3 linked regions of the Ovis aries genome follow. The protein of the gene in region 1 interacts with the protein of each later gene in a pairwise test. Links are inferred from orthologs where the notes say so. Each region holds a gene or a part of one and is shown on either strand. Other genes may lie near its edges.

The links.
Region 2: the proteins of RELA (region 1) and NFKBIE interact in binary tests that used the Homo sapiens proteins (3 or more experiments, as listed by UniProt). The link is inferred for Ovis aries from reciprocal best matches to the Homo sapiens genes RELA and NFKBIE.
Region 3: the proteins of RELA (region 1) and KEAP1 interact in binary tests that used the Homo sapiens proteins (3 or more experiments, as listed by UniProt). The link is inferred for Ovis aries from reciprocal best matches to the Homo sapiens genes RELA and KEAP1.

The regions. Positions count from the first base shown.
Region 1 is NC_056074.1:40,275,440-40,280,312, forward strand, and holds part of RELA (transcription factor p65), read right to left. Parts: intron 4,733-4,873; coding exon 4,641-4,732; intron 4,273-4,640; coding exon 4,141-4,272; intron 3,273-4,140; coding exon 3,168-3,272; intron 2,957-3,167; coding exon 2,744-2,956; intron 646-2,743; coding exon 565-645; intron 478-564; coding exon 403-477; intron 1-402. UniProt on the Homo sapiens protein: NF-kappa-B is a pleiotropic transcription factor present in almost all cell types and is the endpoint of a series of signal transduction events that are initiated by a vast array of stimuli related to many biological processes such as inflammation, immunity, differentiation, cell growth, tumorigenesis and apoptosis.
Region 2 is NC_056073.1:17,747,742-17,752,040, forward strand, and holds part of NFKBIE (NF-kappa-B inhibitor epsilon), read right to left. Parts: intron 3,270-4,299; coding exon 3,167-3,269; intron 2,450-3,166; coding exon 2,227-2,449; intron 772-2,226; coding exon 683-771; intron 573-682; coding exon 333-572; intron 1-332. UniProt on the Homo sapiens protein: Sequesters NF-kappa-B transcription factor complexes in the cytoplasm, thereby inhibiting their activity. Sequestered complexes include NFKB1-RELA (p50-p65) and NFKB1-REL (p50-c-Rel) complexes.
Region 3 is NC_056058.1:12,860,155-12,865,458, forward strand, and holds the end of KEAP1 (kelch-like ECH-associated protein 1), read right to left. Parts: intron 4,540-5,304; coding exon 3,854-4,539; intron 2,338-3,853; coding exon 2,132-2,337; intron 1,906-2,131; coding exon 1,550-1,905; coding exon of another isoform or gene 1,429-1,549; 3' UTR 831-1,428; downstream 1-830. UniProt on the Homo sapiens protein: Substrate-specific adapter of a BCR (BTB-CUL3-RBX1) E3 ubiquitin ligase complex that regulates the response to oxidative stress by targeting NFE2L2/NRF2 for ubiquitination.

The sequences.
Region 1 (4,873 bases):
ACAGGTTACTGTTTTGCTACTGTTTTGCCCCACTTCAATGGAGAACTAAGAGCAGAGACTGCATTTTTGAAACTTCTGCATCTCAAGGCATCCAATGTGGGTTTAACTGACACCACATGGGTTCTCATCCCCAGGGGGGTGCTGGTTCCTGGGACACACTTCCAAAGCCTCTGATTCCCCATGTCTGTAAGGGGCCCGGGAATCGGCATCTTCACTGCTTCCCAGCTGGCTCTGATTTTAGGCCACGAAGGCTCAGGCCCTGAGAAACAGGAGCCCAACAGCGAGCAGGTTTCAGACACCTGCTGGTGAGACTGCTCGACTCTCTCCAAGAGGTTTGGAAACCATGGATCGAACAGATTTGAGCCTACAGTTCCAGTGTGACGACCTTAAGGAAATCCTCACCTGGCTTGGGGATGGAGGCTGAGCCGCGGTTAGGCACAGCGATGCGCCGGGTTGGAGGCCGGGGGTCGGTGGGTCCTGTGGGGTGAAGGCTGGGTCAGTTCTTGGTGTCTAGGGTCCCCTCCCTGCCCACTGCTCTCTGATTCTCCCGCCGCCCCCTCTTACCATTGAAAGGGCTCTTTTTCATGATGCTCTTAAAGGTCTCGTATGTCCTTTTGCGCTTCTCCTCAATCCGGTGACGATCATCTGGGAAAGTAATGGAGGGAAGTGGGTCCTGCTTGTACCAGTGGACCCCCAAAGTTCCCAAAGGACTCTCAGGAGGTAGGCGAGAAGACAAACCTTTTTCTAAGAACCTTTCTCTAAACCTCACCCAGTGAGAACAGCTGCACGACTCTGTGACACTCCACGAATATAAGAATGCCGTGACTTTTTGAGACCTCCATTAGCTGAATGTGGCCTCCAAAGGCCACACAGGTGACCCCAAGTCAGGAGCCAGGAGCCGTCGCAGGGTCCCACCTCAGGCTTCTCTCACCTGCACTGCTGACGTCCCTGCTCCCGTCCAGCCCTGACCAGGCCTGGTGCTGCGCGCTCTGCTTTCTGGGGCAGCCCGAGCATGACAGGCTGGCTTAAGACTTCAACAGACTCTTAACCTTCTCTCTGATCATTTCTGAGTTTAGTCTGGAGCTTTCCGAACTCTCTAACTACTGCAGCACTTGGAGAAGCCCAAAGCACTTGACGTCAAGAGCCCAAAGCCAACCTCACCGTCTCACCTCAAGCACCTGATCCTGGTTCCCTCCCCTTTGGTGTTCCCGCCCTACCTCTTTTGCCCTGTTCCCAAACCTTGGACACATCCTCAGCAGCTTCCTCTTTCTCACTCCCCACCATTCACCCTCTAGACACATGTTCACCAAGCATCTGCGTGCCAGGCTCCATTAGAGCCACTGGAGGTATGGCCCTGAATAAGCAGACAAGGTTCCTGTTCCCCAAAGCTGTGACATCCAAGGGACAGAGGGGCACTGACACAAGTGATAGGAGCTGAGGAGGAGACCAGGGCGAGTAACAGCGCCAGAGGTAAGGTCGAGGGGTCCAGGGAAGCACCGGTGTGAGCCCACCGTGTGAAGATCTGGGGGCCAAGCGTTTCGAGCAGAGGCAACAGCTAGAGCACAGGTCCCCAGGAGGACACAAAGGGCCCTTGGGCTCAGGGTCTTGGAGGAGGCCTGCAGTGGGTGAGACGGTCTCGTGCGTTCTGTCTGTGAGGTTCACACAGCACCTTTTCTCCCGGAACGACCGGAACATCTTCCGAAACCTCCCCACCCCATGTCCCCCCTCTCAGATGCTCTGCACGCTGCTTCCAGACCTGCTCACGTCACTTCTCTGTTCAGAAACCTTTGGTGGCTCCCGAGGCCTTAGGATGTGACCCCAGATGAACGCAAGTCCAGCCTTCAAGGCCCTTCTGCCGGAGCCTGCTCACTACCCGACGACGTGAACTCTTGCCACAAAGCTGTCCCCAAACGTGCTGTGCCCGTTCCCTGCCCTTCTGCTCCACCCGCCTAGAGAATGCGCTTCTGGGTCTTTCTCCAATCTAAATGCTACCTCCTCCACGCGGCCGGTTCCAGTTCCCACAGTATTCTGCACACACCTCGCTGCTTCACGCGTCATTCTGTGACACAGGCTGCTGTTTTGCATGTGTGCCTTCCTCATGTGACCGAGCTCCCAAAGGGCAGGGAACGTGTCTTATCCATCTTTGGATTGATGATACCTGGCGCAGAGCCTGGTGCCAAGTGGACACTCAGTCCTCATCTGGTGGGATGAACTGATGGCTGTTTCAGGCCTTGTTTTCCAGACTGTTAAACAGGTCCCAGGGCAGGACACACTTTCAGGCTGGATGACAGGCTTCAGATAAAGGATCACTTTGGCTGTTCCTATTTGAGCAGATGCCCGAAAGCCCTGACCACAGCATGGCTGTGTGGTGGTGATAAGTATAGATACACTGTGGCAACAGGTCCCAGAAGCCAGATGGCCTGGGTTCAAATGAGGTCTGGGTCTATAACTCACTAGCTATGTGACCTAAGGCAAGTTAGATGCTATCTCCCACCTCAAAAGGTTCATGAGAGAATAAAATCAGGTAATTCACTGATATGCCTGGAATAGGGCCACACATATCACAAGAGCTCAGTAAGTCTTGGGCACCACTATTAAATGAGGTGAGAAGAAGAATCTGATTACTATGGAAATCTGCCCAACCCCAGCTTCTGACCTTCACCTACAGCTGTGGCATCCAGCCCGGCCTCACTCCCACCGGCTGGAGCCCACAGCCCTGCTGCTGCCCTGCCCAGCTGGGTACCTGTGTCTGGCAAGTACTGGAATTCCATGGGCTCGCTGAGCTCCCGATCAGAAGGCCGCCGCAGCTGCATGGAGACACGCACAGGGGCCTGCAGGCTGGGGTCCGCATAGGGCGGCGTCCGGAACACGATGGCCACTTGCCGGTGCACGTCAGCTTGTGAAAAAGAGCCTCGGGCCTCCCAGCCTGGTCCCGTGAAATACACCTCGATGTCCTCTGCAGGAGACAGGGCGGCCGTGTGGGTGCTCAGCTTCCCCAGCCCGCCGCCCCCTGCAATTGCCGATACTAGTCTCTAGAGATGCATGGCCCTGCTGTCCCCAAAGAGTTGGGGACAGTGCTTAAACCAGCTCCTTAACACTTAGTGTGTCTGCTCAGCCTTGCCCCTTGCCTCCTGCTCCTGGGTCCAGCCCTCCTTCTGGCTGTGTACCTTTCTGCACCTTGTCACACAGCAGGAAGATCTCGTCCCCGCCGAGGCAGCTCCCAGAGTTCCGATTTACCCGGCAGATCTTAAGCTCAGCGGTGTTGGGGGCGCCTGAAGGTGTGGGAATAAGGAAGGAAGCCCTGAACCACCGGCAGTCTCCCGGGCTGACCTGCAGGAAAATGCGGCTCCTGCCCAGCCCAGGGTCAAGGTTGTCTAGAATTTGCTGACTACACCTCTGCAGCCAAGATTCAACCATTCCCATTGGCTCCTCACACCAACCAATTCAGCAACTCTGCCGGCACCTACTCCATGCCCAGCTCTGCTCTAGGCCTGAAGAACATAACCACGCACAAAAGGTAAACATCTCTGCCATCATGAAGCATACAGTCCTACGAGAACCAAAGCGATCACAACTGCTGTTTCTCCACCTGACCCAGGCAGTATTCAAGACCCATTCATACACGCTCTGGCAATGAATCCTTCCCTCCTGAGCCCCCCACCCCCACACACACTGGTTCATCCTGGTTTTCTGGCCTTGGGGCTCCAAAGCCTTTTTATTTTCACGTATCCTACTGGCTACTTTTAAACTGCAGTTGACCAATGTCAGCCCAATCCATCTGTAAACTTCCTGTGAGCTTTCCTCATTGAATTCTTAGTTTCTAACATTATCTCGTTCCTGGAAGTTCATTTCCTGGAGTCCTCAGTACAGTTCTGGGCACACCACCCTCTCGTCATGGGCTGGAAATGCCTATCTCCCATCTGACTCCCTGCCAGCCTGGACGCTGCACCTCAAGGGCAGCTCTGCGTCTCCTCTGCCTTGTCTTTTTGGTCAGCACAGTGCTGGGCACAGAGGGGATGACTGATACGTTGGGTGACTGGACGAAGTCAGAGCGACTCTTGCAGGTCACCCCTCCCCACCTCTCCTTTCCTCCTCACAGGCCCACCCCCCTCCCCTTCATGCGGCTCCCTGACCACTCACGGTTGTCAAAGATGGGATGAGAGAGGACAGGCGCCAGGCGGAGGGGCCTGCCTGCCGGGTCCCGCACTGTCACCTGGAAGCAGAGCCGCACGGCATTCAGGTCGTAGTCCCCACGCTGCTCTTCTATGGGAACTGTCAGAAAAACCGATGGTCAGGAGAGCCTGGGCTGGGGGTGGGGCTGGGGCGGAGCAGGGTGTGCGGGTAGCTCTGGGCTGGGAGGGCTGTTGGAAGGTGTGTGAAATAGCAGGAGTCCTAGAAGAGGGTGGTGGGAATGTTCTAGACCCATCACTGACTCCACCTGTGACCCTGAATGTCCTGTCCCCTACACCCCTGCTCTCAGTCTGTTTCTCCAATGGTAGAATGTACTGAACAGGTGTATGTAATGAATGGGCACCGCATCTTGGCCGGTGAGGGACACGTGACGGGAAGGTGGCCTCAGAAGGGTACAGCAGCTGGAGGTGCTCCAGGCAGGCCCAAGCCTCCACCGTGGCCGCCCTCACCTTGGAAGGGGTTGTTGTTGGTCTGGATGCGCTGGCTGATGGCCTGCTCCAAGTCCCGCTTCTTTACACACTGGATCCCCAGGTTCTGAAAGCTGAGGCCCCCCGAGGCATAAGCTCCACTGTCTCCAGCAGAGCCTGGGCCCTCCTGCCTTACCCACTCTGCCCCTTATCCCCTCCCCCACTCACCAGGTAATCATTCTATTCTTAACCCCCTTAAATGCCACCCCACCCAA
Region 2 (4,299 bases), on another chromosome or scaffold:
AATCCAAGATCTAGAAATACTGGGCCTGTCTTCCTCCTCTGCAAGAATCTGCTAAAGCTGAGTAGAGCGAGTGACCCTCAGACAAAAGACTATCTGGTTTCCGGCAGGCCCCAGCACCTGGCTGTCCATACCCAGCCCGCGTTAGCTGCATGGCTCCTGCAGGAGTCCCAGGTTCGGGCCCCGGGTCCTTAGGACACAGGCTGAGAGAGTGGCAGAGTCGTGGATCGCAACCCCAGGCTCCTAACTCCTTGGCCCCTTCAGCTGTGATAGCTCCTGTCTCCACTAGGGATGTGGGAGGCCCTGGACAGCAGAGCTGAGTGTCCGCCTCTTACATCCTCAGCCAGGTCCTGGGGAGTCTCATCCTCCACGTTTCGCAGCAGGGAGTCGGCACCTGCCTCGCACAGGGTGGACGAGATGCTGCTGAGGCCCCGGCCCGCAGCCAGGTGCAGAGGCGTGCATCCATTGAGCATGCGGGCATCCACCCGGGCCCCCGCCTGGAGGAGGAATTGCACCAGACCCCGCTCCTGGGTCTCCACAGCCAGGTGCAGCGCTGTCTTCCCACTCGTGCCCTCCTGGGGGGAAGAAAGATATCAGCCAAGGCCCTCAGAGGAGGCATGCCTCTAAGAAGAGGGGCCCCATGCCTAGGCCCTGGGCCCGGCAGCTCTCTGATGGGCTACCTCACCTGCACATCAATGTCAGCTCCGTTCTGAAGCAGCAGTTCCATGAGTGGCCGGTTCCTCTGCAGGGTGGCGATGTGGAGACAGGCCAGACCTGAGATGGGGTGAGGATGAGGGTTGCATCTACCAGCTCGCTCTCCCTTTCTTCAGGGACCTCCCTTACCCCTCAGCCCCAAGGGACTCCCCCGCCCCATCCCTGCCTACTCAGTGCCCCTGATCACAAGACTGTTAAAACACAAACCCAAAAAACCCCTCAAAAGTCTGGGGGGAAAGGAACTCAAAGTTTCCACCTTTTCAGTCATGTTATTGAAACTTTCACGCTTCGGGAGTCAGGTTGCTGAGTGACACCCCCCCATACACCACGCTTCGGGAGTCAGGTTGCTGAGTGACACCCCCCCATACACACACCCTCCCCCACCACATGCTGCCTCCCCTGTCCGCACACACACACAGTCTTTTTGTAAAACTCTACCTGCCTTCAGGCCCCTTCTAAAAGTTACCTTCCTCAGAGCTCTAGGGATCCTCAGGCCCCCAGCCCTTGAATTAATGAATGAACGAATTAATTCATTAGTTCATTTTTAAACAGAGTGGTCAGGGAGACCCTCATGGAGCAGGGACGTTTGAGCAGAAACTTGAAAGAGATGAAGGATGTGAATTTGCATTGAGTTGTTTAAGAAGAGGGGCACCCAGGCCAGCAAGGAGCTAGCACAAAGACTACAAATCCCATCAAGCCCCACGCCCCCACTTCAGTCCCCTCACCTAGCTCTCCCATCCCCACAGCAGTGACTGCCTGTTAACCTGCCAGAGAACTCACTTCTTATGGCTATTGTTTGCCTCAGACATTATCTTGTTTTGGTCACAGATGCAAGTCTGGCTCCTACAATAATGTCTGGTACAGAGAAAGTTCTCAGTACATTTTTGATGAATGAATTAACGAGTTCATCTAATCTCTGCCGAACTGAATGTCTTTGTTCTTTTTTTTAATCATTTTATGTATTGATTTGTTTTTGGCTGTGCTGGGGTCTTCGCTGCACGGGCTTTTCTCCAGCTGCGGTGAACGGGGTCACTTTGCTAGTTACAGTGCTACGGCTCCTTATGGCGGTGGCTGCTCTTGCTGTGGAGCACAGGCTCTAGGGCACACGGACTTCAGTAGTCGTGGCTCCCAGGCTCTAAAGCACAGTCTCAGCAGTTGTTGCGCTTGGGCTTAGTTGCTCCACGACATATGGGATCTTCCTGGATAAGGGATTGAACCCATGTCTCCTGCACTGGCAGGTGGATTCTTTACCACTGAGCCACTAGGGAAGCCCCCCAAACCGTACATCTTGAGGGCAAAGTTGAGCTCTCTGCTTAGCATATAATAGGTTCTCCATAAATTCTAACCAGAATCCATTCATTAATTCACTCCTTCATTCAACAAAGGTATTCTGAGTACCTATGTGCTTAGAACTGGAGATGCATCAATAGACAAGCTGTGGCCCTCCCTTCCCTGAGAGTGGGGTCCCTGTCTCCTATCCCCTCCTCCTCCCACAGGCCCTGCGGCCACCTGTACCTTGCCAGTTTTGCAGCTGGAGGTCCAAGGAGTGAGGTGTTCCTCTGCCCGGCTCTGGCTGCCCCTCGAGTAGGCAGCGGGCACAGGCCAGGTGTTGGCGCTGGCAGGCCACATGCAGGGCTGTGTCACCATGTCGGTCCTGCAGCACCCGGCTGGCCCCCTTCAGCACCAGGGCCCTCACTGCACCTGGCTGGTCCAGATGTACAGCCAGATGAAGTGCTGTCTGCAGGCACAGAGAGAGGGTCACAGGGTGGCTGCAACATGCTGCAACCTCTGGGAACCTGCTGGGGTGGGCACGGCAATTGCCAGCAGCATGGGAATTGTGGGCCCTGGTCTTCCTTCTGTTGTGCCCTATCAAACTCTTGGGGCCCCAATTCTGGAGGCAGGGTAAGGCAGGCGGCCCTCTGCTATTCTTAAGTCCCCTTAGTGCCGGCCCTGCCCCCCCACCCTGGAGAAAGGACAGAGCCGGGGCAGGGAGGGATAGGGTGTGATGGTGGGAGCAGAATCCAGCTTCTCATCCTCTGGGGAGCCCTGTTATCCTGGGTGAGGGGCTGAGGTCTCAGGGGGAGGCGACAGGGGCATCGAGCAGGCTCTGCTCGGCACACTCCTCCTTGAATGCTCCCTGCAGACATCATGTCCTGTACTAACACCTTCCCTGGCTGCTTCCCACAGACAGTGGTTCCCACAGCAGCTGGCATGTGTCTCTATCACGACTCTCGTCACCACGCTGTGCCATTAGGTGTTGACACGAGTCCTCCAGCCCTGGCTGGAGCACCTGGTGAGCAGAGTCTGATTCCTACTGTCTCTCTGTCCTCAGCTTCTTGCCCAGTGTCTGGTATATGGTTCCCTGAGGGAGCAGCCAAAGGATGCTGTCTGGTGGCTGGGGATGGCTGCTGGGGCAGACATAGGTATCTGGGCTCAGCCCATCATCTCCACCCACCTGGTAAAGGTTGTTCTGAATGTCCAAGACTTCCTGGGGCAGCAGAGCCAGGCAATACAGCAGCACGGCAGGGGCCTCGTGAATCACTGCCAGGTGGATCAGCCTGGGAGGCACAGGCAAGGTTTGGGGTCAGGGCTCAGGCCAGACAGAGTGGGCTGGGGTTCTGGGGTTAGAAGAACACATCAGTGTCTAAGTTGCCACCCAGAGGGTAGGTGCAGGAAGTGAGAGTTTGGGCCAGGAAGTGAGGGTTGCTGCGGGAAGCCAGGATCCTGAGGGTGGAAGCTCCAAGTTCCCATCTCTGGCCTTTGGGAGGGCCTTGGCTGAGTGAGAATGTGGGCAGGGTGCTGACGGGACAAGGTCCTTCCTGTCCACCCTGCCCACACCCCGCTCCCCTCTGGCCCCCTGGGGCCCCCACCAGGCAGCTGCAGCTCAAAGCCAAACTGAAAGCCGCTGGGGTAGCACAGAGGTGGTTTCCAGGGCTGGGCTCCCCACCTCTGCCCCCTTCATGGGGAGGGCAGAGAGGGCAGGGGTGGGGTCACCCTCTGTCCCCTCATGAACACCTCCCAAAAGAGAGGAGACAGAAGCTCTTGGAAAAGGAGCAAGGAGACAGGGCAGCGCTCTGTCCTGCTGCTCTCCACGGGACAGCCAGAGGCCATTCTGCAGGGCTGGGACGGAGCCTGAGCTGGGCCCCCGCTCCTGTGTGTGCCTCTGCGGGGAGGACTGTGCAGTGCAGAAAATGTGTGCCTGGGGTGGGGGATAAAGAGCCTTAACCTGGGGCGGACAGGAGGGGAAGTTCCAGCCCTGGGGTTTCCCCACGTCAGGTGGGGAAAATGAAAGCCAGAGCCAGAGGGTCTAGGCCGGGGCAGGCAGCTGCTGGGGCATTCGTCAGGGGGAAGCCTGGCTGAAAGGCCCGTCTGGGTTGGGGAGGGGGCTGCTTGGGGCAGGGGGGGCAGGCTTTGGTGGCTGGCGAGGCCCAGGAGAGAGTGACGGAGGGAGGGAGGGAGGAACCGCGCTGGAAATCCCCTCGGCCAGGGCCTGCTCTCTGGTCACATTCCTGCAGCCACCTCCCTCTCTCCCTCAGTCTCCCTCCTCCCACTTCCTCTTCCCATTTCCACATGTCCACAGCCCAGACA
Region 3 (5,304 bases), on another chromosome or scaffold:
AAGAACCTGTGGAATCCCCAACAGTTGAGACCATTCTTTTCTCCACTCCCCCAGCACAAATAGAGTTGACAGGCAGAAGAAAAGATCCAGGCCACATAATTCCTTTACACAGGCTGTTCAGAAGGAGCCAAGCTACTGAGCCCTTTGCCTAAGAAAACTCCTAAGAACCCCTTTGTCTTTTGAATACCCAGGCACCTAAATAAAACAAAAGCCTCAGTCTATGTTATTGAAATGCATAAATATGACCTGGTGGACTTTCACTGAATTTGGAAGGCATGTTGGGGATAGTTATTCTTATTGTTTAGACACTCAATTGTGACTCCATGGATTGTAGCCTGCCAGGCTTCTCTGTCTATGGAATTTTCCAGGCAAGAATACTGCAGTGGATTGCCATTTCCTTCTCCAGGGGCTCTTCCCGACCCAGGGATGGAACCCACATCTCCTGCATGGCAGGAGGCTTCTTTACCACAGAGCCATCCGAGAAGCCCATGTTGGGGATCTACTGCCTTAATATAAACTGTGAAAATATAATAATATAATATATACTGTGAAAATATAAACTGCGCATGTGTGCAATTAATCTCGGGGAGCCCTAGAGAGGTGTCAAGGAGTTGGGTCATTGTCTTCAAAGCAGTTGAAAGTGACAGACAAAGTGAGCCCTGTGTGACTTGCTTGTGGGGAGCAAGATGCCCTACATATCAAAATTCAGCGGGGCCGAGATAACAAACTGGTTTCCAATCCAAGCCTTAAATCAAAAGACTTTTGAGTGCATGTCAGGAGAAAAGTCCTTTCTGTCCCCACAGGTTTGAGATCTCTGGCTGAGAGCCCAGTTGGAAGACACTAGTTAGTTTGTTCTTTATTTTCATCTGAAAGTTACAGGGCTATTTATCAACAAAATGACTGTCCGGGCAGCAAAATCCAGTGGTTTCTATGTACAGGCCCATCCCTGGGGTCCACACCTCTGGAGGGGCCTCCTCCCCCAAGGCCTCAGTGGGCTTCTTCCCAGGCCTCTAGGAAATAATCACAAAGACACAGGGGATGAAAACCAGCCTGTCCCCAGCACCTGCTTTCGTCCCACAGGGAGGTGGCGGCTGCTGGTGGGGGAGCCAGGCCTAGTCTTGGGGTAGCGGGTGTGGAGGGCCTCTCTCTGGGGAGCCCGTCCTTCCCGCGCCCACCTCCTGGGCAGGCTCTCGTTGGACATTCCTGGGACTGCTCTGGCAGGCTCACGAGTTCCCACTCTAGCCTTCTTTTCTTTCACGTCGTGATTGGAACACTGTGGTGTCCCAGCCTCCCATTCTGGAGGCCACGGTTTGCACTGTGGAGCCTCTTCATTTGTCCCTGGTTTTTTTTTTTTTTTTTGTACAGAAACGACAATAGTCTGGATCCGACCTTTTTTTTCTTTTTCCCCGCTCAGGAAACAGAAGCGGCTCAACAGGTACAGTTCTGCTGGTCAATCTGCTTCCGGCAGGGTTCCATGGTGACAGCCACGCCCACCCCACTCCGGCCAGAGGTCATTCGGGTCACCTCGCTCCAGGTGTCTGTGTCTGGGTCATAGCACTCCACGCTGTCCAAGAATGTGTGACCGTCGTAGCCCCCTGCAGGGAGGGCAGGAGGGATGGTCGGTCACTACTCCAAGGGGGTGGGGGCTGGGGGCGGGCAGGAAGGAAGGAAGCATGTGAAGCCCTCCTACTGAAAGGGGCTGGGTGGGCTTCTCCGCCCAGGCCTCACCAAGAACGTAGATCCTTCCCTGGTGAACGGTGATCCCCAGGGCGCTTCGCCGATGCTTCATGGGGGCTACGAACGTCCACGTTTCTGTCTCCACGTCGTAGCGCTCTACACTGTTGAGCTGGTCCTGACCGTCGTAGCCCCCCGCAGCATAGATACAGTTGTGCAGGACGCAGACTCCTAGACCAGACGACACAGAGAGGATGACTCCAGGGCCTGGCCTTGGGGGCCCCAGCCATCACCTTCTTGGGGGGACACCCTCCCCTCTCCCGTCACCCGTCTCCCTTCCTCCCCTCCCATGAGGGGCCCTGTAGAGACAAAGCCAAGAGCAAGGAGCTCTACGAGGGTCACTCCCAGGGTGGGGAGGGTGCCCCTCCTTGCTCCCCTCCCCGCAGCCCCCTCCCACCTGCTCCGCTTCGGATGGTGTTCATGGGTGTGATCATCCGCCACTCGTTTCTCTCTGGGTAGTAACACTCAGCTGAGTTGAGGCGGTTTGTCCCGTCGAAGCCCCCGACCGCGTACAGCAGACGGTTGAGGACAGCCACTCCCACCCCAATCCTTCGTGTCAGCATCGGAGCCACCAAGTGCCACTCGTCCCCCTCCGGCTCATACCTGCCACAACAGAGCAGCAATGACGACAGCAGCCCCCGCCGACCCGAGGCACTGACCCACCAACACTCCACTGTGGTGTTGGTTTTTTTCTTTTTAATTTAAAAAATAATTTTATTTGGCTTTGCTGGGCCTTCCTGGCTGCACAGGCTTTTCTCTAGCTGCGGTGCGCAGGCTTCTTGCTGCGGCTGCTTCTCTAGTTGCGGAGCGGGAGCTCTAGAGCAGGTGGGCTTCAGCAGTTTCCGCTCCACGGCTCCCACAGCACTGGCTGAAGAGTTGTGGCGCACTGGCTTACAGCTGCTCTGAGGTACGTGGGCTCTTCCTGGACCAGGGATAGAATCCACGTCTCCTGCATTGGCAGGTGGATTCTTTACCGCTGCAACGCCTGGGAAGCCCCTTACCTGAACTCTTCAATTTTCACAAGGATTCCCTACAACGCAAGTTATCAGTAGCTCCGTTTTCTAGACAAGGAAACAGGTTCACGGCCCCCATCTGCTCAAGGTCGCCTGCACCTCTGCTGGACTCAAATGGCTCCATCAGACCACCGCCTAAGCTAAGTGTTGTATGAATGCAGGACACACAGGAGACACCAGTTCAGTTCCTGGCTCAGGAAGATCCCCTGAAGGAGGAAATGGCAACCCACTCCAGTATTCTTGCCCAGGAAATCCCATGGACAGAGGAGCCTGGCGGGCTATACAGTCCATGGGGTCACAGAGTCAGACACACAGAGTGAGCACACACGCAAACACAGGGTCACCATGCACAGCTGTACTGTACACAGACTGTGTACTGCACACGGGCACCACATCTAAGGGGGCACCTTCCACGTTAACGGACCTCATATGTGTGTTTCTTACAACCATTTGTGGATAGATAGCAGTCAGGTGTCATGTTTTAACGAAATTAGCATATTAACATTCTGACAGTTTCAAACTGATGGAACTTCTTCCAAATCTGCTAACACTCGTTGTATGGGTATGTGATGGCCCTGTAAACGGTTCCCAGGCCAGGACACATCATCCAGGGTCATGACCAAACATCCCCCAGGAGTTTAGCTTCACCTTGAGGCTTCCATTCCCTGAAGGCAAGGCACAAAGAAAAGCACTCAACAATTGAGGGAAGACGTCCCTGGAGGTGCAGTGGATAAGAATCCACCTACCAAGGCAGGGGACATGGGTTCGATCCCTGTGTCTTTAATCAGGAAGATCCATGTGCCGTGGAGCAACTAAGCCTGTGCCATAACTACTGAGCCCACAGGCTGCAGCTACTGAAGCTGGTGGACTTAAAGAGCTTGTGCTCCACAAGAGAAGCCACTGCAATAAGCCTGTGCACCACAACGAAAAGCAGCCCCGGCTCACAGCAACTAGAGAAAGGCTGCGTGCAGCAACAAAGACCCAGCACAGATGAAAATAAATAAGTATTTTAAAAGAAAGACAGGAGGAACCCTCAGATCCCAATGGCGGGGACGTGTGAGCAGCAGAACCCCCCGGATCCCACGCCTCCTGCCCCCACCACTCACCTCTCCACACTGTTGTGGTGGATACAGCCATGGGAGCCGCCAACGGCATAGATATGCCCGTCGATGACGCCCACCCCAATTCGGTTGCGGGGTACGCTCATGGAGGCGCAAGGCGACCACTGGTTGGTCATGGGGTTGTAGCAGTCCAGGGCACTGGAGTCGGTGTTACCATCAGGCGAGTTGTTGCGGCCACCCACGGCGTACAGCAGCCCACCCACCACACAGCCCGCCAGGCCGCTCCGGGGCACCTGCAGGTCTGCCAGCCGGAGCCAGGTGCCATCGCTGGGGTTATAGGCCTCCAGGTAGCTGAGCGACTGGCGGAAGTAGCCACCGGCCGTGTAGATGAGGCGGCCCACCTTGGGCGCCCGGCAGGGCATCACCTGCGTGGGCTTGTGCAGGGTGAGCTCCTGGAAGATCTTCACCAGGTAGTCCTTGCAGCGGGAGTCCGACTGCAGGATCTCACACTTCTGCAGCTGCATCTGCAGGAAGTGGGGCGTGAGCGAGTGGCAGCGCACAGCCCGCAGCAGCGCCTGCACGTAGAAGCGCCGCTGCTCGCAGTCATACTTGACCCAGTTGATGCAGGCGTGGAAGACCTCAGACTCGCAACGCACATTCAGGTCATCCCGGCTGATGAGGGTTGCCAGCTGGCAGTGGGACAGGTTGAAGAATTCCTCTTGCTTGGCCACCTGCAGAGGGCGACAGTGCCATGGGCTGACTTAAGGTCTCTCTCCACTCCCACCTGCCAGGAGCCAGCACAGGAGATCCCACCCATGACAAGGTCATGAGGAGAGACCTGACAGGCAAGGAGGATCAGGACTCGAGGGACTCCTTGGACCTGCTCGAGCATCTACCCAGATAACAAAATCTGTCTACCGTTTACTATATTATGCCTTTCACTTACTCGTCTGGCATTAACAGGGGCTATCCCCGACCACCTTTCTCTGGAGAAAATCAACTTAGGGCTCTAGTTGATAAGTCTCCTGGGCATGAAAGGAATATTTCAATTCAAACCTCTCTGTTAGCATTCTAACTTGCGTGGCAGGTTTATCCATACTCTTAAAACTAACGCACATACATGATTGTTCACAATTTCCCAACCATGAAAGGCAGGGGAACTTAAACATTCTAAAGTCCTAATAGGCATAGAGCCCTTTGAGGAGCAAAAATTATTAGAATAGTGCTGGTGAAGGATTTCATTGTTGAGCCAGTGCTTGCTGCCAAGTTTCCATATCCCTTACCCATTGTGTGCCTGGGAGTATACTAGTTAATATAGTTGGTATGTAGGGAAAATAAGTAGTAGCCTTGGTGTTAGCAACATTAGACCTTTGAGTTAATAAATTTTTTCTTTGTTATAACCCACTGCACCTTTGTCCCATAGGAATGTAACTTTATTTAGTACTTTCTGAGAGTGGTGCCGGACTTTAGAACAAACACTTTTAGAGAAAATAAGT